Sus scrofa: one gene and its partners. The protein of the gene in region 1 purifies or fractionates together with the protein of each later gene. This does not show direct contact. Links are inferred from orthologs where the notes say so. Each region holds a gene or a part of one and is shown on either strand. Other genes may lie near its edges. The genes, in order: ARPC2, ARPC1A and ARPC5L.

The links.
Region 2: the proteins of ARPC2 (region 1) and ARPC1A purify together in Homo sapiens (affinity purification with mass spectrometry; 8 studies listed by BioGRID and IntAct, counting the BioPlex papers as one, with this or other methods). This does not show direct contact. The link is inferred for Sus scrofa from reciprocal best matches to the Homo sapiens genes ARPC2 and ARPC1A.
Region 3: the proteins of ARPC2 (region 1) and ARPC5L fractionate together in Homo sapiens (co-fractionation; 7 studies listed by BioGRID and IntAct, with this or other methods). This does not show direct contact. The link is inferred for Sus scrofa from reciprocal best matches to the Homo sapiens genes ARPC2 and ARPC5L.

Annotation. Positions count from the first base shown.
Region 1 is NC_010457.5:120,293,388-120,304,747, forward strand, and holds the start of ARPC2 (actin-related protein 2/3 complex subunit 2), read left to right. Parts: upstream 1-3,734; 5' UTR 3,735-3,793; intron 3,794-4,006; 5' UTR 4,007-4,014; coding exon 4,015-4,088; intron 4,089-11,360. UniProt on the Homo sapiens protein: Actin-binding component of the Arp2/3 complex, a multiprotein complex that mediates actin polymerization upon stimulation by nucleation-promoting factor (NPF).
Region 2 is NC_010445.4:6,319,920-6,329,684, forward strand, and holds the end of ARPC1A (actin-related protein 2/3 complex subunit 1A), read left to right. Parts: intron 1-2,767; coding exon 2,768-2,858; intron 2,859-4,218; coding exon 4,219-4,257; 3' UTR 4,258-4,607; downstream 4,608-9,765. UniProt on the Homo sapiens protein: Probably functions as a component of the Arp2/3 complex which is involved in regulation of actin polymerization and together with an activating nucleation-promoting factor (NPF) mediates the formation of branched actin networks.
Region 3 is NC_010443.5:265,647,353-265,657,339, forward strand, and holds the end of ARPC5L (actin-related protein 2/3 complex subunit 5-like protein), read left to right. Parts: intron 1-2,691; coding exon 2,692-2,764; intron 2,765-4,671; coding exon 4,672-4,848; intron 4,849-6,098; coding exon 6,099-6,161; downstream 6,162-9,987. UniProt on the Homo sapiens protein: May function as component of the Arp2/3 complex which is involved in regulation of actin polymerization and together with an activating nucleation-promoting factor (NPF) mediates the formation of branched actin networks.

The DNA of each region.
Region 1 (11,360 bases):
GAGAAGATATAACGTACAAAGGATCAGGAATATGAATAGGAATCAGAATTTTTACAATAGTAACCCGGGAAGGTAGAAGAAAACTAATAACACCTTTAAAATTATGATGGAAAATTATTTTCAAACTTGAATTCAAAAACCAGCCCAACTATAAATCCAACTACAAATCGTGTTAGAATAAAACTAAGATGTTTTAAAATGTACAGTGATCCAACAGCATATCCCCTATCTCTCTTCCTTACAAAGTTACTAGAGGTGCTTTAGCAAAACAAGGAAGTAAATCAAGGAAGAGGAAGGCATGGGATCCAGGAAATGGGCAAAACCAGCCCAGAACAGCAATGAAGGAAAATTCCAGAGTGGCAACTATACAGCAAGTGTAGGGAGTAGTCAGTCCGGATTGAAACAGGAGGAAGGAGGCTCTGAGACAACGATTCTAGAGAAAAAATGGAACGTATGCATTTGAGTATATGGAAAATATTGCCCAACTCTTGGACAGTCTTAGAGCACTTGCAGGGGTGGAGGCAGCTAACTGTAGATAATATAGAAAATTGACAAGTGAGGAAAAAAGGCAATAATGAACCTTTAAGAAAAATGAAGGGAGGAGTTTCCCTTTTGGTCAACAGGCTAAGAACCTGACATGGTGTCCGTGAGGTGGGTTCAATTCCTGGCCTCGCTCAGTGGGTTAAGGATCCGGCATTGACGCAACCTGCCGTATACGTTGCAGATGTGGCTCAGATCCAGAGTTGATGTGTCTGTAGTATAGGCCAGCAGCTCCAATTCGACCCCTAGCCCGGAAACATCCACATGCCTCAGATGCAGCCATAAAAAGAAAAGAAAAATAATGAAGTGGAACTATATCTAATTTCCTGGGATAAAACATAATGGAAGGAAATATTAAAAAAGAATATATATATATATATGCACATATATAACTGAGTCACTGTTGTACAGCAGAAATTAGCACAACATTGTATATCAACTAATTTTTTTTTTAATGGAAGTCTGTATAAGCTAGAAGGCATGGTTGTAGGGCACCTATTGGCTCACTGGCAAACAATGTTTGCATACATAATTTAAATGCTGATTATACATAATTTAAATATACATAATTTAATATGTATGTGTATATGCAGATTTAAATTATACATAATTTAAATGCTGGTTTGTTTGTTTTTGTTTTGCTTTTTAGGGCTGTACCCGTGGCATATGGAGGTTCCCAGGCAAGGGGTCAAATCAGAGCTGCAGACACCGGCCTAAGCCACAGCCACAGCAACACTAGATCTGAGCTGCATCTTCGACCTACACCACAGTTCACAGCAACACTGGATCCTTAACCCACTGAGCAAGGCCAGGGATCGAACCTGCAACCTCATGGTTCCTAGTCGGATTCATCCCCACTGCACTACAATGGGAACTCCCTAAATACTGATTATTGGGGGGTTTTTTGTTTTGTTTTTGTTTTTGTTTTTTTGTCTTTTTGCCTTTTCTAGGGCCGCTCCTGCGGCATATGGAGGTTCCCAGGCTGAGGGTCCAATAGTAGCTGTAGCCGCCAGCCTACGCCAGAGCCACAGCAACGTGGGATCTGAGCCGCATCTGCAGCCTACACCACAGCTCACAGCAACGCCGGATCCTTAACCCACTGAGAAAGAGCAGGGATTGAACCTGCAACCTCATGGTTCCTAGTCAGGTTCATTAACCACTGCGCCACGACAGAACTCCCTGATTATTGGTTTAACTAAAAATTGTTACATAACAGTGGAGGTGGAGAACAGAAGTGATAGTCATGTTCTTATCTATCATGATAGGAAGCCAACAAATAATCTTTAAAATTAACAAATCAAGAATTAGTAGCGTAAGCATTTATTTAGATATGTGGATCTAATCTGGATGAACATATAAAAGAGTTGAGGCTATTGCCGCTAAAGAGTAGGCCAGGGAACTCCTTCTTCCATTACAAGTCTTTATAGTATATGTAGTCTGCATATACTTTTAGTAATGTATCTGCATTATTTCGTTCAATAAACAATGTTAAAACGTTAGCATAGGCGTTTCCATTGCAGATCAGCAGATTAAGAACCCAACTAGCATCCATGAGGCTATGAGTTCAATCCCTGGCCTTACTCAGTGGGTTAAGGATCCAGTGTTGCCACAAGTGCAGCATAGGTCGCCTATGAGGCTCAGATCTGGCATTGTTGTGGCTGTAGCACAGGCAGGCAGCTGCAACTCCAATTTGCCACAGGTGTGGCCATTAAAAAAATAGAGGGAGTTCCCTTCGTGGCTCAGCGGTTAACGAACCTGACTAGGATCCATGAGGATGCAGGTTCAATCCCTGGCCCCACTCAGTGGGTTAAGATCTGATGTTGCCATGAGCTGTGGTCTAGGTCACAGACACTGCTCTTGAATCCTGAGTTGCTATGCCCATGGCGTAGGAGGGCGGCTGTAGCTCCGATTGGACCCCTAGCCTGGGAACCTCCATAAGCAGCAGGTGTGGCCCTAAAAATCAAGAAAAAAAAGAAAGAAAGAAAGAAAAAAGAAGAAGAAAAAGAGGAATGAAGGAAAGCAGAAAGGAAGCTCTATAGAAGGTCTCTACTAAGTGGATGGAAAATATGACTTGAGTCTTCTGAATTGGAAAAGAAAGCAGGAGCACCCCTAAACAGAAAAAAAGAGAGTTAGCAAATAATTTGGGGGTATTTGCAATGTCTTGAAGTTTATCCATGTCCAGTAAATAAATTCATTTTGAAGAGCTGTCTGGGCCTGATGACAAGAGCTAGTTTTTGTCAATTTTTGCCTCCCTGATACTTTCTTAAGAACACTTAGCAGAAAATAAATCAATACTCCTAAAAAGAGCTCAGCTAAATTTGTTAGATTCTCCCTGGAGAAGGAAAAGTACAAAACCAGGCACACAGGCAGACGCAACACAAAAATGAGTTCATTTTCCTCACACAGATGAGTAAAAAATTATGTCTCTGGCAGAGGTGCTGGGAGGTAAGGCAGAAAAAAATCACGTTTGGGGCACCTAGAGGCATCTCCAGGCACAGAAAGGGAGACAAGAGAGGAACCCAGGGAGGCTTATTCACTTTGGTGACGTCTCATTCCTTTCCTTCTTTGCTCTTTTAACCGATTTGTAGTTACATATCTGAAAGTTTGTTGTCTGTTTCCTTTGCCAGACTATAAGCTCCACGAGGGCGGAACCTCATCTGTTTCAGGCGTCACTGTATCCCCAGCACAGAACAGGAGCCCACTTAACATTTGCTGAGCAAATTAAGGCACGATGGTGCCACTGGACAGCCATTAGTGTGGCATGAGGAAGGATCACACCGACCACAAAGTGAGAGTAAAGACGCCGACTAGGAAATGAAAACAGTGAGCTTCTTGTCAGAAATAACAGGACCTCGTGCGTAGAAGTAAACTCTTCGGGAGTGCAGGATGCAAGCGCTGGACCGCGAGGCAGGCCTCGAGGAATGACAGCTAGCCGGGAGACACACTTTCAACAGCGGGCCGAGGGCGGGGCTGTGGGAAAGTGGAGAGTCGCGGCATCGCGCGTGCGCACGCGCGGCCTCCGCCCCTTCACCTGGTGCGCCTGCGTGCGCGCGCACGAGGGGTCGGAGCGGAAATGGCGCCGCGGGGCCTCGGGGCCGCGCGTCCGGGCGGCGAGCGGAAGTGGGTGTGAGAGCGGAAGTGGCCGGCTGGAGCCGGGGGCTGGGCGGGGACCGAGCTTGTCGGTGAGGCGGCAGCGGCGGCGGCGGCGGCGGCGGCGGCGGCTCGGCAGGCGGGTTCAGGCTTCGGGGGCCAGGTCGGTCGGGTGGGTGGGTGTCTCCACAGTCAGTGCGTGCGCGGGCTAGCACGCGCGTCTTCCCCTTTCCCCCACCCTGGTCCCTTTCCCCTTCTCCCCTAACCTTCCCCACCCAGCCCCCCTCCTCAGGGGGCAGCAGGGCCGCTCCCTCCGTCCTTTCCTCCCTTACCCACCCTCACCCGCCCTTGTTTCTCCTTCCCCTGTCCGGGGCAGCCGCCGCCATGATCCTGCTGGAGGTGAACAACCGCATCATCGAGGAGACGCTCGCGCTCAAGTTCGAGAACGCGGCCGCCGGGTGAGCGCGCGCCTAGGGCCGGTGGGTGGCGGGGGAGGCAAAGTTGACCCCTGCCAATCGTTCAGACCGTCATACGTGGAGTAGGGAGGTGGGAGACCTGGCCGGGTGCAGGGACTGCCCCGGCGGGGTAGACATGGGAGGTGGTTGGGCGCGGCGGGGTGAGGGGCAGAGATGCGTGGGGAGAGGCTCAGAGGAAGGATGCGGAAGCAGTGAGTGGACAGGAGTGCGCGTGCCAAAGAGACCTGTGGGACGTGAGGGTAGCTTGGACCGGAACTCTCGCTGGAGGATCCCATTGCCCTCTGGAGCGAGCAGGGGACCGCTTCCCACCGTATTCTCCCGTCATTGTTCAGAACCCGGAGAGAGCCCATTGGGGATTGGGTTGGAAGGAGTTTTCAGGGATTCCCAGGACTGGAAGAGTGAAGAAGATGTACCCAGAAGAGGCGCAGATCACCACCAGCCTTCTCGCTCCCCACCCCCACCTCCTCGTCTAAAGGAGCCAGAGGGAAAGCTGAAGGCAGGCCCAGTCTTGCAGCCGGAAAACCCGATCTCTCTAGTTTTCCTTCACCGAACCCTTCTGTAACAGACACTGCCTATTTTGTCACATTTCGCAAGCAAAGTTAATACCCCCCCCATCCACACCCCTTCCTTATCACTCCTCTGAGGTTCTATTCTCCTTTCTCCACCCAGTATCCTCTATCTGGTTGTTTATCTTTTTAAGTTCTTGTATCATACCCCTGGCCTGTGATTTCTTCTGTAGTAATTCTGGCCCAGATAACACACTGAAATGCCTTCAGAGCCTGTAACGTTCTTAGATAAACCTGTTTTTAACCATTGGCCCTTTTAAAAATGGGCTTTAGGAGATGTTTCTAAGGCAGCCGTCTCTGTCAAACGCAGAACCAGTAGAAAGACGACCTCCCCCCAAGTTGTTCGCTTGTCTGATACAATATTTAAAACATGAACCAAGGAATTGGTTTTAGCTCCTAATTTTGGATGGCCTGCGGCCAGTCTCTTTGCCTCATTTCCCCATCCCTTGAGGATGGGGCTTCACATCTTGGTTACACAGTGGAGGAAGTAAGTGCAAACTGTTTCTGGCGAACTGGGAACTAGGAATAGGAGAGTAAGTGCTTGAAGAGTCACAGATGGGAGAGTATTGGTGAAGGGGAAATTCTAAGTGGACAAAACGAACTTGTGGCTTGGAGGCATTTTGAAAAAAAAAATGCTTTTAACCAACTGCTTAAATTGAATATATTGTGTCTTCTAATCTCTTTTATAAAGCCATAGATTTTATCTATAAAACAAAGAACAACTTTCCTTGAAGTAACATAGGCAGTGAGCAGTAGCTACTGTTTCCTGTCAGGGGCTGCAGTTACTTATATTTTAGGTTAGCTTGCTTCTTGTCTTCAGCTTTGCTTACCAGTTCCTTTGCATTTTAAATGTTTGAGCGAATCAGCTTAGTGGCTTATTTTGGGTGATTGCTGGGTACTTTTTTGAGCAGTGTAGCACATAGGAGGAAGTTAAATTAACTTCTGCATTTTCACAGATGATCTTAAGTGAATTAATTCGCAAGTTTAAACTAGCAAAAAATGAGACCTGGATGGTTATAAGCTGATCTACAAGATATATCCCTGTGCATTTTCAAGTAGAAGCATGCCTTGTAGTGTAAGAGTATATTCACATCTACTTGTGTTTTAATATCTCGTGATTCTGAAATGTAGCCCCTTATAGAGCTTCAACTCTTTTCCCTTTTAGAATAGTTCGCTTAAAAAGATTTACTAATCATTTCAGCAGGAATAAAGTAGTCACTCAAGTCCGGAAGGGATAAGTTAGAATTTCTGGGCCTTTTTTTTTTTTAACAAAGTATATGTTGTGGCAATGTCAAATAGTGGAACAGGGCAGCAAGGTTTTGGCTTTTACTCTGGCCCATCTTCCCTTTGAGATGTGATTTTAAATAAGTGGGCTCAAAGCATGTTCTGCTGGAAAGCACTTTGAAAATCTTTCGAAAGAGACCATGATATTCAGCCTCGAAGGCAGGGCTTTCCTGGGATTGCACATGTACCTTTTAGCAGAAGCCTGCCTCTAGAAGGAATGTGAATTTCCAGGCATACCACCAGTAAGGTGAGGCGGCAGTGAAGTAGTTAAGTATTTATCAAAGCGCAGGCCTAGCCAGAACTTCCAGAGAAGGCTATCTGGTGTGATAATCATAAACATTTATGGGGTTCTGCCAGTGCTCAGCACCAGGCAGGAACAGAAAAGAGGGGCCTTTCTGAGAGAGTCTGTAAGAAAGTTACAGAGGAGTGTTGGGGTGGACATTAAAGAAAGGCAGTAGCTTGGAGGAGAAACCCTGGAGATTGGAAAGGCTTGGGAACCTGCTGGGAGAGGTCAGCCCCTCCCTGCTTTACACTTCTCAGCAAATCAGTTGGGGAAATTAGATTCACAGTGGCCTTCCCCACAGTGGACCTTCCAACTCTGTGATGTCCAGTAATGATAGCCAGCAGCTGTGTGTGGTAGTTAAGTTTAAATAAAAATTGAAGTGAATTAAAATTAAGCTCCTCAGTTACACTAGCCACAGGTCGAGGCTCAGTTGCCGTGTGTGGCTAGTAGCAGCCGTATTTGGGCAGCACAGATAGAGAGCATTTCCACTATTGCTGAAAGTCCTATTGGATAACACTGCTCCAGCTACTGAAAATGTAAGCATGAGATCGTCTTAAAAATAGTTCTGTGGTATATACTTGAGAGTACAGTTATAGTAATTTTGCTTTTGAAGTTGGTCTTTTTTTGAATGGTACCTCTCAGAGCATGGTAATGGATTTATGGTAGGTCCGTCTCTGTGGGCCTATCATAGTGTACCCATGCTAGAGTAGACTGCAGCCTCAAACCACTGCTCAGCCTCCTTACCTGTGGGCTGCGAGCACTGAAGGGAGTTTGTACAGTGTGAAAATAAGATGATGCCTCTCATCATCCTGCTGAATCTTGCCTGTGACATCCTACTAAAAGCCTAAATCTCCTTTGGGTAAAGTAGTTCTGTTATCTGAACTATTTAAGAATGCATTTGGTCATGACAGTGTTTTAATTTGGAGGCAGTTCCAACAAAGCCTTAAGTAAGATTCCAAACAAATTACTTTTATTTTTTCCTACCACACACACTTATTGGAATGATTTATATATCCTCACAAAATGATCATTATTGGTAAATTGTCTTCCCAACAGCCTCCAAGCTAGGAGAATGTGGCTAATTGAGCAATGCTCAACACTGCAGATAACCTCACGTGTAGGTCTAGTTAGTAGTGTTTGGTATTTTGGCTTTTTCATTTAGGAATTCTTACCCCAACCTCCAATTAAAGCAGAAGTAATCTGGGAAATTAATTTAATTCTTTTGTTAGTGTATACACCAAGAACTCTTACAGCTTCAAAGCTAGGCTTGTCAGCGTAGCTAGAGTTATGAGTCTACAATTGAGGAAATGCTGTCAGATTCGAATAGCTGTTGATTTTAAGTGCACACTGGCTCCTTGCCACAGCTGTGCATATTGTGGGGCGCTGTGGTTCTGTGAGGGGGAGTGAAGCTCGGTAAGCAAGCCGTGCCAGTTGGGGTGGGCGAGGACTGGAGGAGGAGAAATTTGAGAAAGGAATAAATTAAATCTTGCTGATACCTTGTTCTCATTCCCGAATATGCTGCGTATGTCCTCAGAGAGACAGACTGGTTTGAAGGGGTTTGGAATTAGGACATTGTTCAAGCATTTAGAAGAAATTGAACATAGTGGCTGACTTGCTGAGATGACCTGGTTGGTCTTTTTACAGGTCTCTGTAGTTACCCACTGCTGCCCATCCTCTGACCTCCCTGGGGCCACTTTGGGCACGAAGCCCCCTCAGAGCTACACTCCACCAAACCTTTGACTCCTTAGGGCAGGGTCTGTCATTTTAGTCATCTTTGTTTCCCCAGCGTTCTTGGTGTGTGTCTAGTCAGCTCAGTAAGTGTTCTCTTGAAGCAATGGATGAAGCCAGGTAGAATGGCTCATAGTTTCTTTAGGAGATTATCACTTTTCTGACATTGGGTGAGTCAGCTTTTGGGGAGTGGGACCACTTCTTACCTAATATGACCCATTTTTGTAGGCTTTACTCAAAAAGAATGGTAGGAGCCCTAGAGAGGACCTAAAGGAGAGTGATCAAAAACTTTATGGTGAGATAATGAGCAGAATTCAATAATTTCTCTAATTCCGATTCTGCACATGGAAGGAATAACTAGAAGAGGGACATAAATGCACAAATGGGGACCTGGATGCATTTGGGAGTAAAAACTCCAAAATCCTTAATGAGAAAAGAGGATTGGATAACAGTTGGAGTTCTTTATTGACTGATTAGTGACATTCTAGAAGCTTCCTTAGAAAAAGGATAGAAGGAATTTTTCCTAAAGGATTTTAAGAATGGCTCTTGAAACCCATCTGAATGAACTGAATATATTTTAGTGTCATATGCTGTCCAGTCAGTAACCAGCTGGCCTATTCTGGGATTCCAGACATTACAATATTCTGACACTAATAGAGTTCTGTTTCTCCTTGCTCTGCTGACCAGTACCTAATTCTGAGGGTTAGCACAATCCCAAAAGCTCTCTCAACCACTGCTTCAAAGTCTGATCTCCTCTCACTCCACCCAAAAGAAAAACTAATTCATTGATCACCTTCCAGAACCGTGCACTTTGCAGTAAGCTTTTAGTTTCACTTCCTTTCATAATGTGCCTATGTAGCAGATAGCAGTTCTGATTTACAGTTGGCAAAACTGGGACTCTTGGAAGTTGCTGAGGGAGTAGACTCTGTATGAGTGCAGGCACCCTTCCCTGCTGATTCCTGACGTTGTTTAAGATATGTCACACCCAGGCTATAATCATCTCAGTCTGGTACATCTGGGCAAGTGGTCTAGAGATCCTGCCAATGGGCTGCCCTAAGGGCTGTAGGGATTGTTATCTCAGCATATCTGTAACTTAGTCACAAGACTCTTGGGAAACTTTGCTGTCCACATAGCATCTCACTTAGTCTTCACAACAACCTTGTGTGGTAGATATTTTTAATCTCCGTTTTCTAGAAAAGGAACCTTTGGCTTGCGGACATTTGAGTACCGTTGCCTGTGGTTACTTAGCCAGAAAGTGACAGAATTTGAGGTGAAGAGTCAGCTCTGAAAGACGTGCTTTTTCTGTGATGAAACGCACTCTCAGCATCCAAAACTCCAGCAGACAGTAGAACAGAAAACCATTTACCTTTTTGGCCTATTAAATGGTATCCTTCTCTCCAGACAAGTCAGTCTTAACCCCCGCTAGCTCACAATTTTAAACCACAAAAGTAAATAACAGATACCCAGAATTATCACCGTTCCAGGTCTCGGAATTGTGATATATTTCCCACTCCATGCAGTCTCCTGGTTGGGGCACAGGCCTCTGACTTCCAGAAGACTTTCTGGGAAGACTTCTTTGGCCTGGTGCTCTCCTCAGCAGCCTGCCTCTCTCCTCTGCAACCTTTATGCAGCCATAAATAGTAAACTAAAATATTAATGGCAGTGATTTGACAAATAGTCCCAGTTCGGTCAGCAAACCACTTAGTATAGATTTTAGCGACTTCTCCCAGTGGGGATCTGTGCTCAGGGAACTTTCCTGCCTAGAGAAATTCAAATTGTCAGAGTCAAAATGTTGGAGCCCTAAGGTTATTTATCTGTAGTTGATTTTTCTCAGTCTGTTGGTGAAGTAAGAAAGTGAGGATCGTGGTCCTTCCTAGCTGAGTAAAGCCTAAAGGTTAAAAACAAAAACAAACCCCAGCTGCCTACTAAGTGATGCAACGTGGACTTTTATAAGCCTCCACCCTGCCTCTTTGGCACAGCCAACCTTACTTAGGAAAGTGTGTTCAGTGCTCCCTCCTGTCATGCAGCTTCTTAATATTTCATTCAAATGGGCCGTAGATTAATGTATGTACTTCTTTGCTCTTGTTTTCTAGAGATGAGGAATGATAGTTGGCCATCCATTGCCTTAATCTCCAGGCTACAATTTCAAATGAAAGATCAGAAATGATTTAAATTTTCATCCTATTCTTTTCATCTAAACTCACTGCTTCTCCATAAACCCACTGGATGCTTCCATTCTCAGACACCTGAAATGCTTTTCCTAAGTCATACATGGATGGCTTTGAAGAAGCAAGGTGGAACTTTGTGTGTGATTTGTATAGGTTGATTTTATAGCAGGGCTAACATATGCTTAACAGAAGCCAGTTTCCTTGAAAGCTATTGTTTAGCCCTGCAGCAGGTTTTTAACAGTCATAAACCATGTTATTTATTCTGCTATTTCCCAGCAACTCTGGAGGGTAACTCAGTCTTGGTTCCTTTTACAGTTGAGGGAATGGAGATAGTGAAAAAAAAAAAACAAAAAAAAAAACTGATATATGCTTGATTGTGAGGTCTTGAGCAAGTTAGGCAAGAATAAATGTCAAAATGTGTATATCTTGTCTGCTGGCCCATAAAACAAAGTGGAATCATTGGAGTTATAGATCATTAGCTGATAAAACCGTAGAGTCTTTCTTCGCTTCCTACCATTGGGCTTTGAGGAGAAGTGAGGAAAGTATGTGAAGTAGCTTTTCACTGGGGCTTAATTGACCATTACCGGTTATTGTTAGCTAGTATGTCATGCTTTGTAGGTAATAACTCAGCAGCATTTAGCGAATAGAAATCCATGTACTGCGCCTAGCTGGGAATTGCACAGAAAACGTTAGACTGTCGTTGCCTTTCAGTATAAGGTCTTTGTGTCTGTTCTCTTGTTTTATCTTTAGCAGTTGCATGACGTAGGTAGCACTTGCGTTCTCTCATTTTATACCTGAGTAGGTGAGAAAATGAAGGCATTCAGTGCTAGTTTGTCTGAAAAGGAGCTCTCTTTGTGGATCAAGAGTAACAAACCCAGCTAGTATCCATGAGGAGACTAGTATCCATGAGGAGTGGGTTCGATCCCTAGTCCCACTCAGTGGGTTAAGGATCCTGTGTTGCTACAGCTCCGATTTGACCCCTAGCCTGGGAACTTGCATACGCCACTGGTGTGGCCCTAAAAAGACAAAGAAGGAAAAGAGAAGGCTTTAGTTGGGAAAAAAGGTATCTTGACTGTTCTCAGTGACTTCGCATTGCTATTTTGTACTCCGCTTTCCATGGAAGTACAACATTGGAATTTAAAACCAAAACCAAAACCAAAAAAAAAAAAAAACAAAAAAAACTAGGTTAGAACCAAAGAGGGCTTCACCAAGGAGAATGGTGAGT
Region 2 (9,765 bases), on another chromosome or scaffold:
AAGTAGTCATTTGAAGGCAGAGCAGAACTTTGCTCCACACTTTTCAAGTTTCTCTGTCTGGAGTGATTTTCTTTTTTTTTTTTTTTTTTTTTGTCTTTTTGCTATTTCTTGGGCCTCTCCCGCGGCATATGGAGGTTCCCAGGCTAGGGGTCGAATCGGAGCTATAGCCACCGGCCTACACCAGAGGCACAGCAACGCGGGATCCGAGCCGCGTCTGCAACCCACACCACAGCTCATGGCAACGCCGGATCCTTAAACCACTGAGCAAGGGCAGGGACCGAACCCACAACCTGTGTTCCTAGTCGGATTTGCTAACCACTGCGCCACGACGGGAACTCCTGGAGTGATTTTCAAAATTAATTTCTGTGAATTTCTTTTTCATTTTATTTATTTATTTATTTATTTATTTATTTATTTATTTATGCTTTTTAGGGCTGCACCTGCAGTATATGGAGGTTCCCAGGCTAGGGGTCTAATCGGAGTTACAGCTGCCGGCCTACGCCACAGCCACAGCAACGTCAGATCTGAGCCTCGTCTGCAACCTACACCATAGCTCACGACAACACCGGATCCTTAACCCACTGAGCAGGGCCAGGGATCAAACCTGCAACCTCATGATTCCTAGTCAGAGTTGTTTCTGCTGTGCCACCTTGGGAACTCCTGTGAATTTCTCTTAAGTTTCTCTGCCAACTATCTGGAAGGAAACAGCTCTCATTGCCTCTTGAGACTTCTAGATTAAAAATAAAAACACCTTTGCATATTGGCATGACTACTTTATTTGCAGATATTAAATCCTGGAACAAGGTCAGCAGACTTTCTCTAAGGAACCAGAGAGTATAAATTTGCTCTGAGTGGCCATACAATCTCCATCACAGGTACTCAGCTCTGCCATCGTGGCCACAGGCTGCTGTGGGCAGTGTGGAGATAAATGAGCATGAATGTGTTTCAGTAAAACTTTATGGACACTTGGAGTTCCCATCATGGCACAGCAGAAATGAACCCGACTCAGAACCATGAGGTTATGGGTTCGATCCCAGGCCTCGCTCAGTGGGTTGAGGATCTAGCGTTGCCGTGAGCTGTGGTGTGGGTCGCAGTCACGGCTTGGATCCTGCATTGCTGAGGCTGTGGTGTAGGCCGGCAGCTACAGCTGATTTGACCCCTAGCCTAGGAACCTCCATATGCCATGGGAGCAACCCTAGAAAAGGCAAAAAGACAAAAATACAAAACTTGGAGTTCCTGTCATGGTGCAGCAGAAACGAATCTGACTAGGAACCAGGAGGTTGCGGGTTCGATCCCTGGCCTCACTCAGTGGGTTAAGGATCCGGTGTTGCCGTAAACTGTGGTGTAACACGCCACAGACAGGCTCGGATCTGGCATTGCTGTAGCTCTGATTAGACCCCCCCCCCGGCCTGGGAACCTTCATATGCCGTGGCTGCGGCTCTAAAAAGCAAAAAAAAAAAAAAAAAAAAAAACGTTATGGGGAGTTCCCGTCGTGGCGCAGTGGTTAACGAATCCAACTAGGACCCATGAGGTTGCGGGTTCGGTCCCTGGCCTTGCTCAGTGGTTTAAGGATCCGACATTGCCATGAGCTGTGGTGTGGGTCGCAGTTGCGGCTCGGATCCCGCGTTGCTGTGGCTTTGGTGTAGGCCGGTGGCTACAGCTCCAATTCGACCCCTAACCTCCATATGCCGCAGGAGCGGCCCAAGAAATAGCAAAAAAAAAACAAAAAAACAAAAAACTTTATGGACACTGAAGTGTGAATTTCACATAATTTTCACATAATTAAATAGTAATCTTTTGATTTTTTTCCAACCATTTAAAACTGTAAACGTCAGGGGGAGTGGGATGGATGGGAGTTTGGGGTTAGCAGAAGCCGACTGTTAGATTGAGAAATTTAGAATGGTTAGGCTGTGAGACCCTGCTGTATTCACGGGGAACTCTTATGCAGTCTCCTGGCACAGAGCATGATGGAAAATAATATTCTTTAAAAAGAATGTATATTTATCATGACCGGGTCCCTGTGCTGTACAGCAGAAATTGGCACAACATGGTAAATCTACTACAATCCAAAAAAAACCACAAACCGTAAAAGTCATTTTTTAGCTCACATAGATTGTACAAAAACAGGTGAAGTGTGCCATCCCCTTCCCCAGAGGGAATGTTCTAGACATTTCAGAGGCGAAAGACATATTATCTAAGCTGTGGAACTGGTTTTCTTGAAAGTTTCTCACACACTGAGACTAATAAGCGAAGCTGTTTCATTAAGATGCTCCTCTGCTTTGCTTCGCTCGGTTGGAATTTTGCGGCGTGTCTGGATGTCCCTGATATTTATAATGATTCAAGTGCGGGGAGAGCGCTTGGCTCCTAAGCCCGGGCCGCCTCAGAGGGCGATGTGGGAGTTTTTGTTTGGAGCCAGTTGGATTTCAGTCATGCCTCCTCCTGCCTCTGGTTTATTGTTTCAGAATTGGTTTCCGTTTCCGTCAGAGCTGTGCTCCTGCCCACTCCCTGCTCCACTCTAGCCTGAAGGGTCCTGCTTCTCCCCGTCCCTCTAATTAACGAGGGTCTTAACTTTTCCCTCTTCTCAGCCTCTTTCTTTTCCGGACACGTGGTCATAAAATGCCCTTGAATAGTTTCAGGGTCAGAGGGCCGCAGACTCCTTCCGATGGGCACCTTACAGGAGCTGATGGGCATTTCGTTTCCTGCCAGTGCTGCTGCGCTCACTTCCGCCACAGACCTTACGGTCTCCCCTGTTTTTGCTTTTTTTCAGGCAAGTGTCTATTTATGAGGTGGACAAGCAAGATTGTCGCAAATTTTGCACTACTGGCATTGACGGAGCCATGACAATTTGGGATTTCAAGGTATCTTCCACCTTTCAGAACAAATCTTGTTTGTGTTAAAACTCTTGCTGTGAGAGGGCTGTGTGTCATTTCTTGGAACCAGCCGTCAAATCCGTGCGCGTCAGAGGGCAGCGCCCTGGGCTTTTCAACACCTGCAAGTTGTAGCGGGAGAAAACGGTGCTCTCTCGATGCGATGGACTCCAGGCTCCTGGAAGTCCATTTGTCATTGCGAACAGCCGAGCGCTGCTGTTTGTCCCAGGCCCTGTGCCGGGCGCCCGTCTAGTTTAACTCTCTGGATCTGTTTTACCATTGACACTAGTTAATCTAATAAATGCTCGCTCGCTGCCTGCTGGGTGCCAGGCGTGGTGCTGGGCATGGAGGATGCTGAGATGAAGGAGCCCTGGGGGCAGGGGGGGCTGGATGGAGCGCAGAAGAAAAGCCACTGCCTCTTTCCGCGCCGAGGAACTGGGTGGGGCTTTGGCACAGGGACTGCCAGCGCCGCAGGGAGGAGACCGTACCTGAGCTGCATCCTTAGCTTGCCCACCACCCGCCCAATCCCGAGGCTGGAGGGAGCAGCCAGGAGGGCGCGCTGCCCTCAGGCACCCAGTTCTCGGGGCTGTGCACAGGGCCTGCGGAACCTGGAGCTGCAGCTGGGAGAAGGCAGTGTGGCCAGGAGGTTCTGGACTAGAGAGATTTGGGGTGTGTGACAGTGAGGGCCAGATGCCAAAGGACTCTGCACCCTCCAGCCTCGGGATTGGGCAGATGGCAGGCAAGAGAAGGCGCCAGGGAGGAGGAGGAGGAGCGGGCCCAGCTCCTGTGTGCAGCTCTGCGGGTTTCACCTCCAGAAGTTAAACACTTAACAGAAGTTTGCCACTGCCTCTGCGGTTCCACGTTGTTTGACGTTTCTGCCTCTGCAAGTCCCTCCCCGCCCTTTTACCTTCGGCCGCTTTACATCCTGGGCATCGCCACCTGTGTGGTTGGCTCCACCTGGGCAGTTAGTGCTCGGCCCTTTAGTCTTTGACAGGCCAGGTCCTTGGAGGTCCCGGTGCATTTTTCTCTCGGCTCACCTCGGGGCACCAGCCGTGTGGAGCGCCCAGGCTGGCTGCATGTGGTCCGCAGAAACCATAGGCGCGCCTGCCATCGGGGCATCTAGGGTTGCTAAGTCCACACGTGCCCTGAGAACAGGAGTGTGCCCAGGGCCTGTGGGCTGCGCCACGGGGACGAGGGAGCACAGGGCCAGCAGGGGGCGCCGTGTCCCGGGAGGGAGAGAGTCCGAGGGGAGGGGGACCTCGCCGGGGAGCCGGGGCTGGTATAGTGGGGTGGGGGGACCCCAGGATGGAGGGTGCTCAGTAATGACGCTGTGCTTCCTGTCGCTCTCCAGACCTTAGAGTCTTCTATCCAGGGCCTTCGGATAATGTGAAGCCGAGCGAGCCTCCCAGATCCAGCACGAGGACGGGCAGCTGCGCGGGGGCAGCGCCGCCGTTCGCAGGATGGGAGGAGAGCCGGCCGCCAGAAACACTGAAGACGCGTGTGGCGAGCCATTGTCGTGTGTTTTGTTTGAGTATAATTGGTGCAAGTGTTGGTTTTTTTAAAAGCAGCAGTGATTTGGGTTTTGTTTTCTGTTTTTTTTTGTTTTGCTGTTTCATTCCATTCTTGACCAAAGCTTCTTTTCAAGTAGTTTATTATGGAAAATTGTCACACTAACTTAAAGGAAGGGGGGAGGTATGTAAATTGTCTGCTAAAAACTTAAATAAAAACACTGAATATGTTTTTGGTTTTGCTTCCTTATATTGTTTGCATTTTTCATACGAATATATGTGTAAATTCTTTGTTAGCCTAGGTAGTTTTTAGGGTAGAATCTTAGATGCTTAGTTTCTTAAATTGAGCCGTCTTGTGCAACCTTGAACACAGAGAACCACTTCTGGAATGCTCTCTCTTAGCCTGGCAGGACTTCTGCAGGAGAGGGAGGTACACTGTTCCCAGCTTGGGTACAGGCACAGAGGAAGCCCCCCTCTGCTCAGCAGCCAGGCCTCTGCCCTGTGCCCTTGGTGGGCGCGGACCAGGCGTGTGCAGGGGGAGAGGAAAGACAGAAGTTGTCGTTTGAGCTTAGAGATGATTGTGCCCGAACGGAGTTATCTTCATCAGAATTAGACACGAAGTTTGACATTTCAAGGCTGAGACTCCAGCTCAAAAGTAAGTGGCTGGGGAGGAACAGGAATACAGTGTAGCCTTGAACTTGGCAGTGTGCCCGGAAGTGGAGCCGGGACCTGAACTCAGCTCGCTGGCGACAGGGCTTCTCCAAAGAGCAGTCTTGCCCATTCGCTGGCCCGTGGGACGCACTACTTCCGCCAGAAGAGAATCGCACCTCCTCACACCTGCCTCTCCCTCCCCGTTTGCTGGAGCATCCTCTGTGGCCGCCGATGGCAGGAGCTCCTGTGCGCGTGTGTTTGTGCCAGTGCGTCGGCAAGGCTGTCGTCGCAGAGCGAGGGTAGACAGAAGCCGGCCGAGTGGCAGGAATGTGCTACCAAGTGCTTTTGAGTTTCATGAGATCGCATGGTTTGGCGAGAAAGCCCAGAGGTTGTTAGAGAAACAATGCATTCCATGAAAGAAACAATAAATGACTACCTTGGCCTCCAAAACTTGAGGCGGAGTCTCATCTTTCATCTTTTTTTAACTAGGTCTGTGTCACACCTGCAGAAGAAGGCCCATCCCGACGTGTCAGCCAGAAACCCTCGGGGCTGTGCCGCAGTGCTGGCGTCTGACACTGGAAGGTCCCATCTCTTCTCACCCTGCCTGTGAGACTCAGACCAGACCTCCGTCCACAGCGACTCCCAATTTGAAGGGTTCCAGGCAGCCCCTGACTGTGCCAGAACACACCGCCCAAAGCGCTTGTTGGAAGCTTTGGTGTCGGATTGTAGTTCTGCCGAGCTGTGTGACCATCAGCAATATAATTAACATCTGTGAGCTCAGTGTCTTCACCTGTAAAATGGCAATAATAAAGGGAGAGCTCCTGTTCCTCAGAAAAGCTGAGGTTTGCGTGCAGGCTTGGCTTTGCCCCATACCAGGCCCTGGAGACCCTTGATAACAGAGCGAAATAGTATGAAGGATTCTGCTAACCAAAACAACAACAACAAATTTTTTTCGAGAATATTCTAGTGGGAAAGCTGGGCTCAGCCTCAGAACCAGGATTAATTGCTCAGACATGACCCCTCCGTTCACAGAGGTGGTTGGAGGTTTCACTCTCACATGTGCCGCCTGAGGCAGTGACGTGAAAGTCGAGGGTTCCCTCAGCGTCTGCAGTGTCGCTGAGGGAACAGTGTCACTCCACATGGAACAGCACCGACAGGCGTATAAATGATCAAGTTATTTGCGTTGTGTGTGTGATTTAAACGCCAGGTGGGGCAGGTAGACTCCTGGCCCCCGAAGACGGCCATGCGCGAATCTCCAGAACCTGTGCGCTTTGCAGATGGGATTAACTTACAGCTCCTGCGCCTCGAACATCCAGGTGGGCCCCACGTACCCACAAGGCTCCTTCCAGGCGGGAGGCAGGCGGGGCAGCGTCTGAGGCCATGAGGAGGCTGAATCACAGGCTGGAGCCTGAGACGGCCACGGGCCTCCGAGAGCTGGAAGGACAGAGCTGATTCTCCCCGGAGTCCCCAGCAGGAACAGCCCCCTGCCTCTGAGACCAGCTGGGGGCCTCTGACCTCCAGAGCCATAGGAGACACTGGTGTGGTCTCAAGCCACCCCGTCTATGGTAAGTTGCTCCAGCAGCAGCGGCAGGAAACGAACCCACGAGGTCAGCTCAGCCAAGGGCACGAAGCACAGCCTGGAGCTTGGAGTTTCTCAAGCTGAGGGGCCGAGCCCACTGATAGGTTGTAAAGTCACGGTGGCCACGGAAACAGGAGAAAGCAACATTCTGTGATGCACGTAGTCAGTTTGGTTTCAGACATACACGGGCCTGTGGCCCAGGCTGTCTATCTGGGGGGGTCAAGGTCAAAAGAGCCATCCAGGGAGAGCCTGGGGGCGGGGGGGGGCCGCTGAGGAAGGCTGCTGGGCCGGGCATGAGGGGAGCTGCGCAGAGGTATGTGCGCTCCTCACAGCACTGCACGGTTGCAACCGAAATTGCCCTTTCTAGAGACGACAAAGCCTGAATTGGAACCTCAGCGGTCTGTCCAGAGCGCCAGGGGAAGCTGCCAAGCACGCTCCCTGCTGCAAGGGCAGGGAGGGGAGAGGCCCTGGGACCCAGCCTGGTCGTCACCACACTCAGGAGCAGGGTGATGTCATTGGAACCAGGAGGGGACCCCCTGGTGATGCCTTGGGGGCGGGGGGCAGTTTTCAGCTGAGCCATGTGCTGCCCATCAGACCTGCCCAGACTGGGCCCCTGGCAAGGCATGGTGGGCGTCTCTGTGCCTCCGTGGCCAATCTCTGCCCTCCGAGGCTTCTGCCACCTCACATGCATGTGTGGCCTTGGGCAAGAGGCCCAGGGTCTCCCCTCTTTCTCATGGGTACGGGGGGGGCAGGTCTTCGATCTCTGAGAGAGACCCATGGTCAGCAATCGGGGCTGGGCGCTTCTGGGAAAGGTCTTTGTCCCTGGCCTCCCACGGCCTTGGCCAGCCCTCCGCCTCCTGCATCCAGACGCCTGGAGCTAGGCTGCCATCTTGTGCCCAGCAGGCAGTAAGGCCAGTGCAGGGGGCAGGAAGGAGCGGAGCGTCAGAAGGAACCTTGACGACCCCAGAGACCCAACCTGGCACCGCCCCTCCGGCTGGGCCTCCCGTTGGCCAGCCCCAGCCTGGAGGCGTCAGCCTGCCTTCCCGGGACAGCTGAGAAGGCCGAAGCGCAGGGAGAGCTCAGCATCTTCCCAGGGCACCGGGGGAGGCAGATTCCAGGAAGAAACAGAAAGCTCGGAGCTGTTCTCGGAACTCCAGATGAAATCCCTCCACCCCCAGGTTCTCCTCACGCGAGCACTTGTTCCACTTCAGGCTTAGAAAACTGTCCCCCCAGGGAGCCGCTGCAAATACACCCCCAAGGCTTCCCAGTTTGAGGTGTGTTTCCCATGTATTATTGGTCTTCCCACTGGGACTGCAGGCCTGTGAGGTGGGCGGTGGGCGGGCAGTGCTGCTCACTTTGCAGATGCAGAAACCCAGGCAAAGCAAGAGTGGCCTGAAGCCAGTTAAGGGGCTGAGCCAGAATCTGGTTCAAATTTCTCACCCCACTTGTTCATTCATTCATTCAGCAGATACTACTCAGGGCCTCCTGTGTGCCAAGCACAGTTCGAGGCCCGGGGAGAGCCGCGTGATTAGTACAAACACGGCTTCTGCTCCCACTAAGCCTGAGTCTTCTCATCAAACCAGCTCAGTTTCACAGCAAGGAAGACAGTCCTCAGGTGTGTGTATTTGTTAGGCTGATTTTCGTGATGCGTTACAGAAAACTTAACAAACCAGCTTCAAAAGGAGATTCCTTGGCTCATGGATCTGAAACCCCCGGAGGCAGGTTGGGCTCAGGCTGCAGGTCAGAGGTCAACCAGGGCTCTGGTCATTTCCTGGATTCTGTCCATTGCCAGCCCTCCACGTGGTCGGCAGCTTGCCTGTGCCTTTTGCACTTACACGCTTAGGTTCCTGCATCTCGCCCGGAAGGCACTGCTCTCCCCTCCCCCTTCATCTGGAGTCCTGGGCTTTGCTTTGACCCTCTCCAGGTCACAGTCCAGGGTGAGGGGGTACTATCAGAGGTGGGGGCTCCATCCCACCTGGGCTCATTTCCTGGGCGTCTGCCAAACTAGGCTGGGTTAAGTGGAAGCCAGGGACACAAAGTGTCGCCTCGGCATTAAGCGGCTCTTGCCCTCATGGGAAGGGGGTTGCTGGTACAGACCATCAGAAACTTCTGATTAAAGCCATCGCTTGGATTTGCCAGGGCTGGAAGGCAGGGGTGGGGTGGGGGGCTGGGGGGGTGCCGATTGGTCACTGTCCTCAGTGTCCCCTCAGAGACAGGAAGGCTCAGGTGCTCTTAATGGGGGTTAAAGTTCACAGACCACCCCCTGTGCTCACCTCAAAGTGCTCCTCACCCTCGGACTGTTGAATCCTCCCAACCCCCGGGCAGGGGTGGAATTGTGTAACAGGAGCTGGGACAGGTGAGCACAGGATCCTGCTGAGGACAAAGTGACCTGAGAGACACTCACTCCTGTCCTGCAGGATAGAGGGATGTGGGCCAGGTTGGGACAGGATGGGACAGGTGCTCTGGGCAGAAGTAACACCATGTGTCCGCGGGAGGGGGGTGGATGGGGGGGTGGCTGCCCGGGGACCTCCTGAGATCCGTGAAGACCCCAGACCCCTCTGCTGCTGCTGCTTCGTGCCTGGCTGACCCGCCGAGCTGAATCCTAGGAAGGGGGTCTGGCGAGCTGAAAGGGGCTCCTGCACCTGCGCGCCGCTTGGCCACATCTCCAAGGATGAGGCAGAGGGCGAGGATGGAAAGATCCCTCGGGACTGCCTGGCGCAAGACCCCAATTCAGGCGGCTACAAGGCCAGCGGGGTAACTTAAAGGCGGGAAGAGGGCAGGAAGTCGGCCCTGAGAAGGGGCTGGACCAGCTGGGGGCGCAGCCCCCGTTTAGCAGTGAGGACACCGGCGGCGGGCGGGCCGCCTCGGCTGCCGTGACTACCCACACCCCGAACCCGGCGCCCAGGGGGCATCAGCTCGCGAAGGAAGAGATGGTCCCCGCGAGGCCGGGCCGGAGGCCAGCAGCGGCAGCTAAGTTGCTGGGTCACCAGCGCTCCCTCCCTCCCGCCACTGGCGGTGGTGGGGCTCGTGCGCGCCGCCCAGGCTCCGGTCCTCGCCCGGCGGTGCGCCCCTCCGCGAGCCTCCGTTTCCCCGTCCGCGAAGTGTCTGGACGGGCTGGGGAGGCGGACGCCCTCGGGGCGGCGGGGGTCCACGCAGCCCC
Region 3 (9,987 bases), on another chromosome or scaffold:
GCTCAGACCATCCACAGAAGGGGAGAACAAGGCCTGTTTATCTGCTGTCTTCGTCCTGGTGCTGTAGGGACTTATCAAAGGTCATGTCTTGGTTATGCTTCTGATGTGATAGGTTCCTTGAGGCTGCTTGGAGGCAGGGGATGGTAGTTTCTTCACTAATGGCAGTGTCAGAAACCTGGTTACCACGGAGGATGTACTTCTTGGGATTGGGGAAAGGGAGGTTAGCAGATGAGAACGGAAATCCTGGCAAATGTAGGGCCGGGAAGGGAGGAGGAAGGAACTAATATTTGCTGAGTCCTTACCGTGTGCCAGGTATTGGATTTACATTAGATTAATAAACTATAGAACAGGTTTCTAGGAGTCTTAGGACAGAGCAAGGGGAGTAGGGATAGGCGTTGATGGGGGACGGGGGTGTGGGGAGTAAGCCTGTCCTAGTGCGTAGAGGGAGGCCTGTGGTGATGGGAGATCACACAGATGAAATGGAGCATGGGCTGCACATCCGCACACACCCAGCTCAGTCATGCTCTGGCTCTGTGACTTTGAGCAGATCTCATTCGCTCTGTGACCCTCGGCATCTACCTCTGTGAAAGGGAGGAGAACCAAGCTTGGCTTACAGGTTCAACAGCGGCATCACCGGACAACATGCCAGAAGGCTTCAGCACAGGGCTGGACACACAGCAAGTGTCCTGGATGTGCACCTAGGGTCTGTGCGTGGCGTGGCAGCCAGAGGTTGTAGAAAGAGCTTGGCTTTGGAATCAGGCATACTTGGGTTTGAAGGCCACCTGGACAGCTTAGCTTTGTGACCCTGGGCAGGTCATTTTCCTTCTTTGAGCCTCAGATTCATTGCCTTTAAAATCAGAATAATCACTCTTGTCACAAAGAACTGTTAGCAGGGATGAGATTACATGTGAAAACACCTGGGCACAGGCTCTGAGCCCTTGTAGGGATTTTTAAGCACTAGATCCTTTTCTTGCTTGCTGAGGTACCTTTTGGTCCCTTGGAGCGGGAATCTGGCAAGAGCAGTGGTTTTGAGTGATTTTGCACTCTCCTCCCCCTAAAGAAATTTGTCTATTTTTGGACATATTTTGATCGTTACAACTTGGGGGGTGCTACTGGGATCCAGTGCAGAGAGGCCAGGGATGCTGGTAAATTGTATGATGCACAGGGTAGACCCTACATCAGTCATCTGGTCTAAAATGTCAGCAGTGCTGTGGTTGAGAAACCCTGATCTACAGGTGACTAGGTGCTGAGTCTGGAGGCCGGCTTGATAAATGGTAGGCCCCTCCTCGCTCCCCAGACCCCTCAGCCGCTGGTGGCCCTGCCTGTCAACACCTGCAGTGAATGCTTGGTAGACAGGCACCACAGCGAGATTAACTCTAGAGCAGTGACTCTTTTTGCCCCCTGGACTGGTTATCCTACCCTTATCCATTCATCTTCTGAAATATTTTGTTTCCCAGCCATGCTGGTTAGTGAAGAGTGCCAGCCCACGTTTCCTCTTAAGGCTCTGGGACTCTGCTCATTGCTCTGGGATGCCAAATTAGAAAAGAGTTCTGAGGTAGAAGTTATAAGTGGCTGGTATCAGGCTGGCCCTCACCTGGCTGGGAAAAAGGAATTCCAAAGCTGACAGATATGGGGGGTGTGGGAGAGTGGGCTGCCTCAAATTGGAAGGTAGGTCAGAGCCCAGCAGGGTGCTAGGGAGCCCGCAGGGGTGGCTCCCTGGCTGTATGGACCCGGCTCAGTCAAGATGGAGGCCTCACTAGGGAAGACCAGGGACTCAGCTTTGCTAGGGAGGCTGTCTGTTCACACGTGGGTATCGCTGCAGGAAGAGGAGGAGAGACCCCGATTGGGTAGAAGCCATTTCTTGTTCTATTTTTGAAGCCTTTTGGCTGAAGCCAGTGTTTCAGATGAGGAAATGAAAGTCAGCTGATGTAATTCAGTTTAAAATAGGTGTCACCTTTGGGGACCTAACCCAGATTGTAATTTTCTTTTGTGTGCTGGGTATTCTAAGCTCAGCAAAGCATGTGTCAGGACTCCAACTAAGGTTTGGGAAATGTGTGTGTAGGGGGGGATTGGTTCGTTTTGTTGGCAGAAGGCTCTTCTAGGTTATTAAATACCCCTCAGTTGGGACCCCACTGGCCTGGATAGGTCTTGGAAGATAAAAGTTTTAGCACATCTTAATTTCTTCAGTAGTTTACCTGAGACAAACATTGGATTAAGAGTTAGGAGACTTCCGTTTGTGCCTTCATTCTTCCCTTTTAAGAAGAGAGGATGAGAATGGTAACTTCACACAGTGATCACGAGGGTCTAGTAGGGCACTTATGGTGGCTGGTGCCGAGCAGGTGCAATCCAGCTCAGTCAGATTTTGTGCAAATTTCCCCAAGGGGGCAGTTGCTTTGCTGCTACCTTCCAGAGAGTGCATGCTTGTGTGTGTGTCCACACTGGCTTTGAAGGGGAAGGTTTAGGGGTGGCAGGAGGGCTTGCAGGGTTGGTAGAAATACCCCTTCCGCCCTCCGTGTGGCTCAGGAGAGCTGCAGGTGACCCTCTAATCAAGCTGTGCCTGCTTGGAAGCTGCAGGGGGAGGTGGGTGGATGTGGATAAGATGCCATTTGACTCTCAAGTTCTTTTTGACATGAGTTCATTAATAAAAGCATGGACATGCTAGAGCATAGCCATCCTTAACTGGAGATGCACAGGGGACATGCTTCGGGCATTTCACGCAGCCTTACGGAACTCCCCCGTCAACACCAAGAATCAAGCTGTGAAGGTAAACTGGGTCGAGCTGCAGCTCTTGTTGGGTGGTGTTGGGACCAGGGCTGTGGTTGTCCAGTGTGAACTCGCTGGGGCTCTGGACAGCGTCTGTTTCATCACTGCACCAGCGAGTATCTGCTAGGAGAGTGCATTGGCACTGGGCAGTGTTTCCACGAAAGCCTCCTGGTGCTCCTGTACCAGAGCTGTCAGTGTTTCCCCAAAGAAACGTTCACTTCCGAACCAGGCCCTCATGGGGTGAGAAGTCAGCCCAGCCCTTCCTGATGAACAAAACTATAAATTAGCTTGCCATGTGGGACGTAGCAGTGCTTTTATAAGCTATTGAATAGGCTTTATTTGCAAAAGGGTTTTTAGTGCTTTTATGATCTGCCTCTTAAAAACTAGGCAGACGATATAGCTGTGCAGACTGCAGAACTTAGGCCATCTAAAATCTCATTGCTGAGACTATCTAAAATTTGGTTCAGAGAAAGGGGTCTCTTTTTTTGTCTTTTTAGGGTTGCACCTGTGGCATATGGAACTTCCCAGGCTAGGGTTCGAATTGGAGCTATAGCTGCTGGCCTACACCATAGCTCACAGCAACACTGAATCCTTAACCCACTGAGCAAGGCCACATCCTCATGGATACTAGTTGGGTTCATTACTGCTGAGCCACAATGGGAACTCCCAGGGGTCTCTCTGAAGCTGGAATTCCACCATCTTGTGATGGCCTCTTTTTTTTAAAAAAAAAAAAAAGCTTTTAAGATATTTATTTACTTACTTACTTTTCATCTTTTTCGGGCTGCACCCACAGCATATGGAGTCTGCCATCCCAGGCTATGGGTCAAATCGGAGCTGTAGCTGCTGGCCTAAACCATAGCCACAGCAACATGGATCCGAGTGGCATCTGCACCCTACACCACAGCACACAGCAACGCTGGATCCTTAACCCACTGAGCAAGGCCAGGGATCAAAACTACATCCTCATGGATACTAGTCAGATTCATTTCCTCTGAGCCAGGACGGGAACTCCCTGTGATGGCATCTTGATGTAACCAATTGCTGCACCTCTCAAACCTGGAGCAGAATGGCCCCTTTGTTACCCTGGGGTGAACGAGAGGGAAGCTGCAGCCAAGTAAACGTGTTTTTGTTTGTTTTTTTTTATTTTTATTTTTTTTTTTTTGTCTTTTTGCTATTTCTTTGGGCCGCTCCCATGGCATATGGAGGTTCCCAGGTTAGGGGTCCAATCGGAGCTGTAGCCCCTGGCCTACACCAGAGCCACAGCAACAGGGATCCGAGCCGCGTCTGCGACCTACACCACAGCTCACGGCAACGCCGGATCCTTAACCCACTGAGCAAGGGCAGGGACCGAACCCGCAACCTCATGGTTCCTAGTCGGATTCGTTAACCACTGCGCCACGACGGGAACTCCTGTTTGTTTTTTTAAATCTAGATCTCCACAGTTATGATCTTATAGTGCTTAAGGCCTTGCTGGTGCCATCAAAAATAATGATGCTTGGGAGTTCCCACGTGGGGCTATGGGTTAAGATTCCAGAATTGTCACTGCTGTGGCTTGTTGGGTTGCTGCTGTGGCATGGGTTCGATCCCTGGTCTGGGAACTCTTGTGTGTTGTGGGTGCAGCTAAAAAAAAGTGGTGATGCCTCCCCCAGTAAACCACTTATTTCCCCGTCAAGTAAGTGGAATAAAAAAATTATTGGCTTTGAATACTTTGGGATACTTGGAAATTTAAATGAATAAAACAATTTCAGCCTAGTTATTTTTTTAACCATTCCAGATGAGTTAGAAATTGGGCAGTGTTTCTAATGAGTTCTGACTACTTGGTTTGGTGTTTCTGAGCCTGCATTGCGGGACGTGGCTATGCCTGGGCCATGGCTCTGAGCCTCCCTCCCCGCTCTCTTTCCTCTGTAGGAACGGGCCCAGGGTGTGGTGCTGAAAGTGCTTACAAATTTTAAGAGCAGCGAAATTGAGCAGGCTGTGCAGTCACTGGACAGAAATGGCATCGACTTGCTAATGAAGTACATTTATAAAGGGTTTGAGAAGCCCACAGAAAACAGCAGCGCAGTGTTACTCCAGTGGCATGAAAAGGTATGTGAACCCATGGCCTGCTCAGGCAGCCCACCGACTCATCCCAACCCCGGGGTTCACATCAGCAGACCAGGTTATCCAAAACAAACGTAGGAGAGTCTCAGAGGCATGTGAGAGGAAGGGGCCATGCCTCAAGCAACCTGGGACATCTGAGCACTTACCTCTCCCACGGAAGTACGTGGTAGGGGGTCTGCTGTCTCTGAGAGTCGCCATTGCCGTAGCAGCTGGTTTACGCCAGGCAGGCATGGGGTGGGTGACTCGGCGTGGTCAGGTAGCCAGGGAGTCCATGTGAGAGGCAGGCAGGCAGGCTTGCTGGTGGCTGGCGCTCTGTAATACTTTCTGTGGGTTGGTTGAGGTGGTAGTTGTGGGTCTTAGATGCAGGGCTGCATCCTCTGGTTAGCTCTGAGGGCTTCCTGCTCCGGCCTCAGCCTCCCCAGGCCGGAGCGGGCAGTACCAGAAAGCTTGGCAGTCGCTCAGCAGGACCTTCATCCACCTGATGCAGGAAAAGCTGTGCCTGACCTTGGCTGGGGTCAGTACAAAAGCAAGGCCTTTCATCAAGCCTGTGTCCTGCCTGTGTGCCACTGTCCTCTGCCCTGTAGAGCTCCAGGAAGCCTGCCTGTCATTAAAGGGGACCCGGCTAGTACCAACTCAAATGCCTTCCTAAAAGGCTCTGTTGAATTTTAAGGGCGTGGCCCTCACTGAGGGGTCAGTCGCTTGGGCAGCCTCAGGGCTGGGCTGGGGTGTGGACTTCCGTCTTGCTGGTGGGTGTGTCCTGCCCGCTCTGGAAAGTGGGCTCCTAGGCTCAGTGGCTCAGGGTGACCATGGTGCTCAGGGGAACTGGGCAAGCCCTCTGCCCCTTTTAAAGTAAAGCAGCTTGGTGCTCAGCCTTGCTGACATTTCAGCTCTTAATGGGCTAGTGTCTGTCTAAGCACTTCCGGCTGCGCCTGTGGGCTGGTCACCATCAGCTTGTCAGAGGGAAACTGGAGGGCTCTGTATGTTGGTAACAATGTTCTCAGGCCCAGTTCTGCTGCCTCAACAGCTAGCAGCTCTTGGGGGCCCTTGGTTCCAGGACAGGGCTCTGTCCATAGGACGTGGGCCCCGCTGGCACCTCCTAACTGTCCTCGCCCAGGAATCCTTTTTCAGAGGGTCTGCTGCATGTTGGGAGTGCACGGTCCCATCTCCCCTGCTAAGTTAGGCTCCCCTTGGCCAACCAGGTCTCATTTGACACCTTTCTTTTCCTGCCCCCACAGGCATTAGCAGTAGGAGGACTAGGCTCCATTATAAGAGTTCTTACAGCAAGAAAGACTGTTTAAAACAAAAACAAACAAACAAAAAAGACTCATGTTACCTTGAGAAGAATTTTGGATGCACAGGCTGGCGAAGAAGGGATTGACAATCGGCCATCTTCCTAGCAACTCCCAACTAAACAATTTCAGGACATGCATCCGCTGAAGTGTATTTTATTTTCAAGGTGGAGGGAGAAATCGTCTTACTGTTTCCTAAATCCTTTGCAGGATCTGATAGTCTATGCCTTTGTCCGCGAGTAATGCAGAACTGACATTGTGACTGTCTGCCAGAGTGGCTGGCCATCATTGGTCGGTCAGGTGTACCTGTGTGCACTGCCTGTTAAAAACAGGGGAGGGATGATTTGGGCAGGTGCAGATCCAAGGGCTGCGGTAAAGGGAGAGCTTGGTTTTTTGAAGTGGAAAACCCCCGAGGGTTTGTACAGACAGCCCATCCTCCCAGAGAAGGCGGGCTCTCTTGGGTTCATTGTAAAGTGCCTGCTGCATCAATAAAGCTCTTGGCTTATTAGTATATAACTCTGTGGTGTGTTTAGTGTATATTAAGAAAAAAAAAAAAAAAAAGAGTAATGAATGAGATGGTAGTGAATGCGAGGTTGCCTGTCCTGGGCACTGGATGTGGAGGGGCAGACGTGTGTCCCTGCTGACCACCCTAGGGAGGGAGTGTGGCAGTCCAGCCACCATAGTACCTCAGGCCTGAACTGCAGACATGTTTTGCTGCTACAGAGAGATGTTTTGCTGAATAACTATTCCTTTTACTCATTTGATCTGTATGTCATTTTGGAGTTTAATAAAGGGCCAGACATTCAATAATTGACCTAAACTTTCAAAGTCTTCAGTTTGTGTGGCTGCACTTGGACTCTTGAGAGTTCAGGGCTCAGAAGGGCCCAGGCACCATGTCCTGACGCTGGGTTCAGCTGTTTGGCAGGAACACTGCGATGTTGAGTTTTTTTGGTTTATTTTGTCTTCGTAGGGCCGAACCCGCAGCATATGGAAGTTCCCAGGCTATGGGGTTGAATCAGAGCTATAACTGCTGGCCTACTCCACAGCTACAAGCCATAGCAACGCGAGATCCGAGCCATGTCTGACCTGCACCACAACTCACGGCAACGCTGGATCCTTAACCTGCTGAGCAAGGCCGGGTATCAAAACCGTGTACGCGTGGATTCTAGTCAGGTTCGCTACCACTGAGCCACATGAGAACTCTAAGGAATTTTCTTCAAAGGATTAAGAGCCAGAGACAGGTAGCAATCAGCCTACAGATATAATAGGAACATTTTGTTCCCTGTAACCACTAACAATAAGCCCCTCTGAAGAGCAGAGGTGCTTTTCTTTCCTTTTTAGCACATGTGACTACACTTTGCATTCAATTAAAGCTAAGGACCCCATTCACATTTCTAAAGCTCAACCCCATCATGCGGGCCTTGAGATGGATGTTGACCACAGTGACAATCCTCCCGGCTCCTCTGCAGGACCCCCTACCCTTCCTGGGAGGGAACACTAGGCTGCCGGCTTCATTAAACTAAATATAAAGTTTATTCAGCCAGATCCAGTCGGGGGAGGCTCTTTCTGAAAGACATGTTCCACAGCCCCTACAGCCCTTTAAGTTCTGAATCCGAGACACAATGTGCTAAATTTAACCAGTCAAAGAAACACTGAAACACCAAACTGTATCAAGTAAAACCCACTGCATCTGGATGGAAGAGCTTTAATCAAAAAGTGTATTGCACCACAAGTGAATTCTCTACAGCAGTTTTAGATAATACAATCCCTATTTACAACATGGAGGCCAAGATCAAGATCCAATGCTCATATAAAGGGCGATGCATACTGTCTCTATCACAGAATGTTTTATACAAGTGAAAGTGCATGACATCACTTAGAATATTTACTCCACTCTCCTCTTAAAGCTGACAGAACTTCAACATGCAGGAGGAAAGCCTAATCAGAATGAACCCTCCCTGTGCAAGTACAGACTGAGGCATGGACCCCATGACCACGCATAAAACCGCCGTGTACGTGGGTGGGGGTGAGACCAGCTGCAGAGGCCACAGAGGAGCCGAGTGGGGCTCCTGTGGCTATACTCTTGTTGCCTCTGGCAAGCCCTGAACTACCCAAACTTTGGGAGTCTTTCCTGGAACAGCTAACTCTTACTCATCAAAGTTAACGGAACAGAAGGGACTCCTGTTTGGTGTCCCCACCAGATAAATGGAAAAAGCATCCTAGACAAGGATCAGACACCTGCAGGGGGAGCCACAGGAGGAGGTAGGTAATGGAGAGCGGGTCCCTTGGATGGCAGAGCCCCAGCTGGGACAAGGGTAATGCTGCCCTTGCGTGGTGCTTCTAGGTCCGTGGCATGTTACAGGTTAACTGCAAATCCTTGTTTTTCTGTGAGAAATACTTTGTATCTTAACCCTAAACATAATTTTACATCATTGGATAACTGATAGTAAAGTTAGGAGCTCCAGTTATTAATGCAGTTTTTTATTTAACCAGTAGAACTTTCATCAGACTATTCCATCAATATATGATTTCCCTTTAGACTCAATATTGTGGCTTATCTAGGGCAAGCATGTTCCCTTTTCTTTAATGATAATGAACAGAGTTTTCATCAGTCACTTCAGAGCCATCTGCGTGCTCTCCAGTACTGCAGCTGGAGGCTGTCTGGACACCATACGTCACTGTAGTGTCCTCTTAAATTATGTGGGGGAAGGACGACTGGGAGGGATGGTGGCTCCACACACAAGGCAGACTGCCTCCTATGTTTTGGTCAAGGCCGGGGACGAGGGTAGGGACAGCTGCTGCTTTTCTGAATACAGTGGACTGTCCTTAGTAGTAGAAAACTTGTGATCAGCATCTGCTCAGTGTTACAACACAGAAATGAGAGCAAATAAGCAAACGAAACACCACCACTGCCTCAGAGGGAAACAGATGCCACAGATTGCTAGTGGCGTCACAAAGGGACGGGGTCCCAATCTCAGAAAGAATTTCCTCTCGATGCTCTCATTTTCCTTTAAGAACACCAGTCAGATGGATTTTATAGTACAGAGGACGTGTTTATAATAGCTTGAGCTATAAAAAATAGTTTAAAATGGTTTACCAGCAACCTATCCAAGACACATTCATTAAAAAGGCAATTGAGTGTATTTGGTACTAAGGATCTTCTTACATATTTGCTAGTTTTCTTCAGTAAAATGAGATACGGTCATAAAGGTGCATATTCATTAATTCACATGGCCCCAGAATACCTTAGAGATGGACACATCTAAAGTTCTAGGTGGTTTGAGAAACAAGGTGGAATAACGTTTCCCAGAGAGAAAGGATTAAAAAACCTCTTAAACTCATCCGAACCCAAACATCCTAACAGGGAAGGGGAGTTTTTAAAAGCCAGCCCCACCACGTTGGCGCTTCGTGGCAGAAGCAGGTGGGTTTGGCCTGCTGGGCATTGTTTGGAAGGGCTGTCTTTGTCCAGCATCGCCACTACCCAATGCAGCAGCCGCCTTCCCTCTGACATGCTGATGGCTTCAGCTTTAAGTGCTAACATTGAAAGAGGACTCAGGTGCAGATGGGTGCTGGCCAGAGCTGGGGTTTTAGCAGCACTGCGGAGATGTGGGTAGTGTCAGGTCCCTCCCGTGTGGTGACCAGAATAACAGGATCAGCTACCTCCCGAAGTTCCTATCAGTCTGCAGGGAAGTGGGCCTTAAGTCTTGTAAACAATGTTTAGATGCTTGTACAAAATACTGCAGTTACAGTGATTAAAAACCCACCCAGACTGGTGTGTCAGTGTTCTTTTCACAGAAAAAGTGTCAGCCCTTGGAGCTCCATCCTTGGGTAGTTC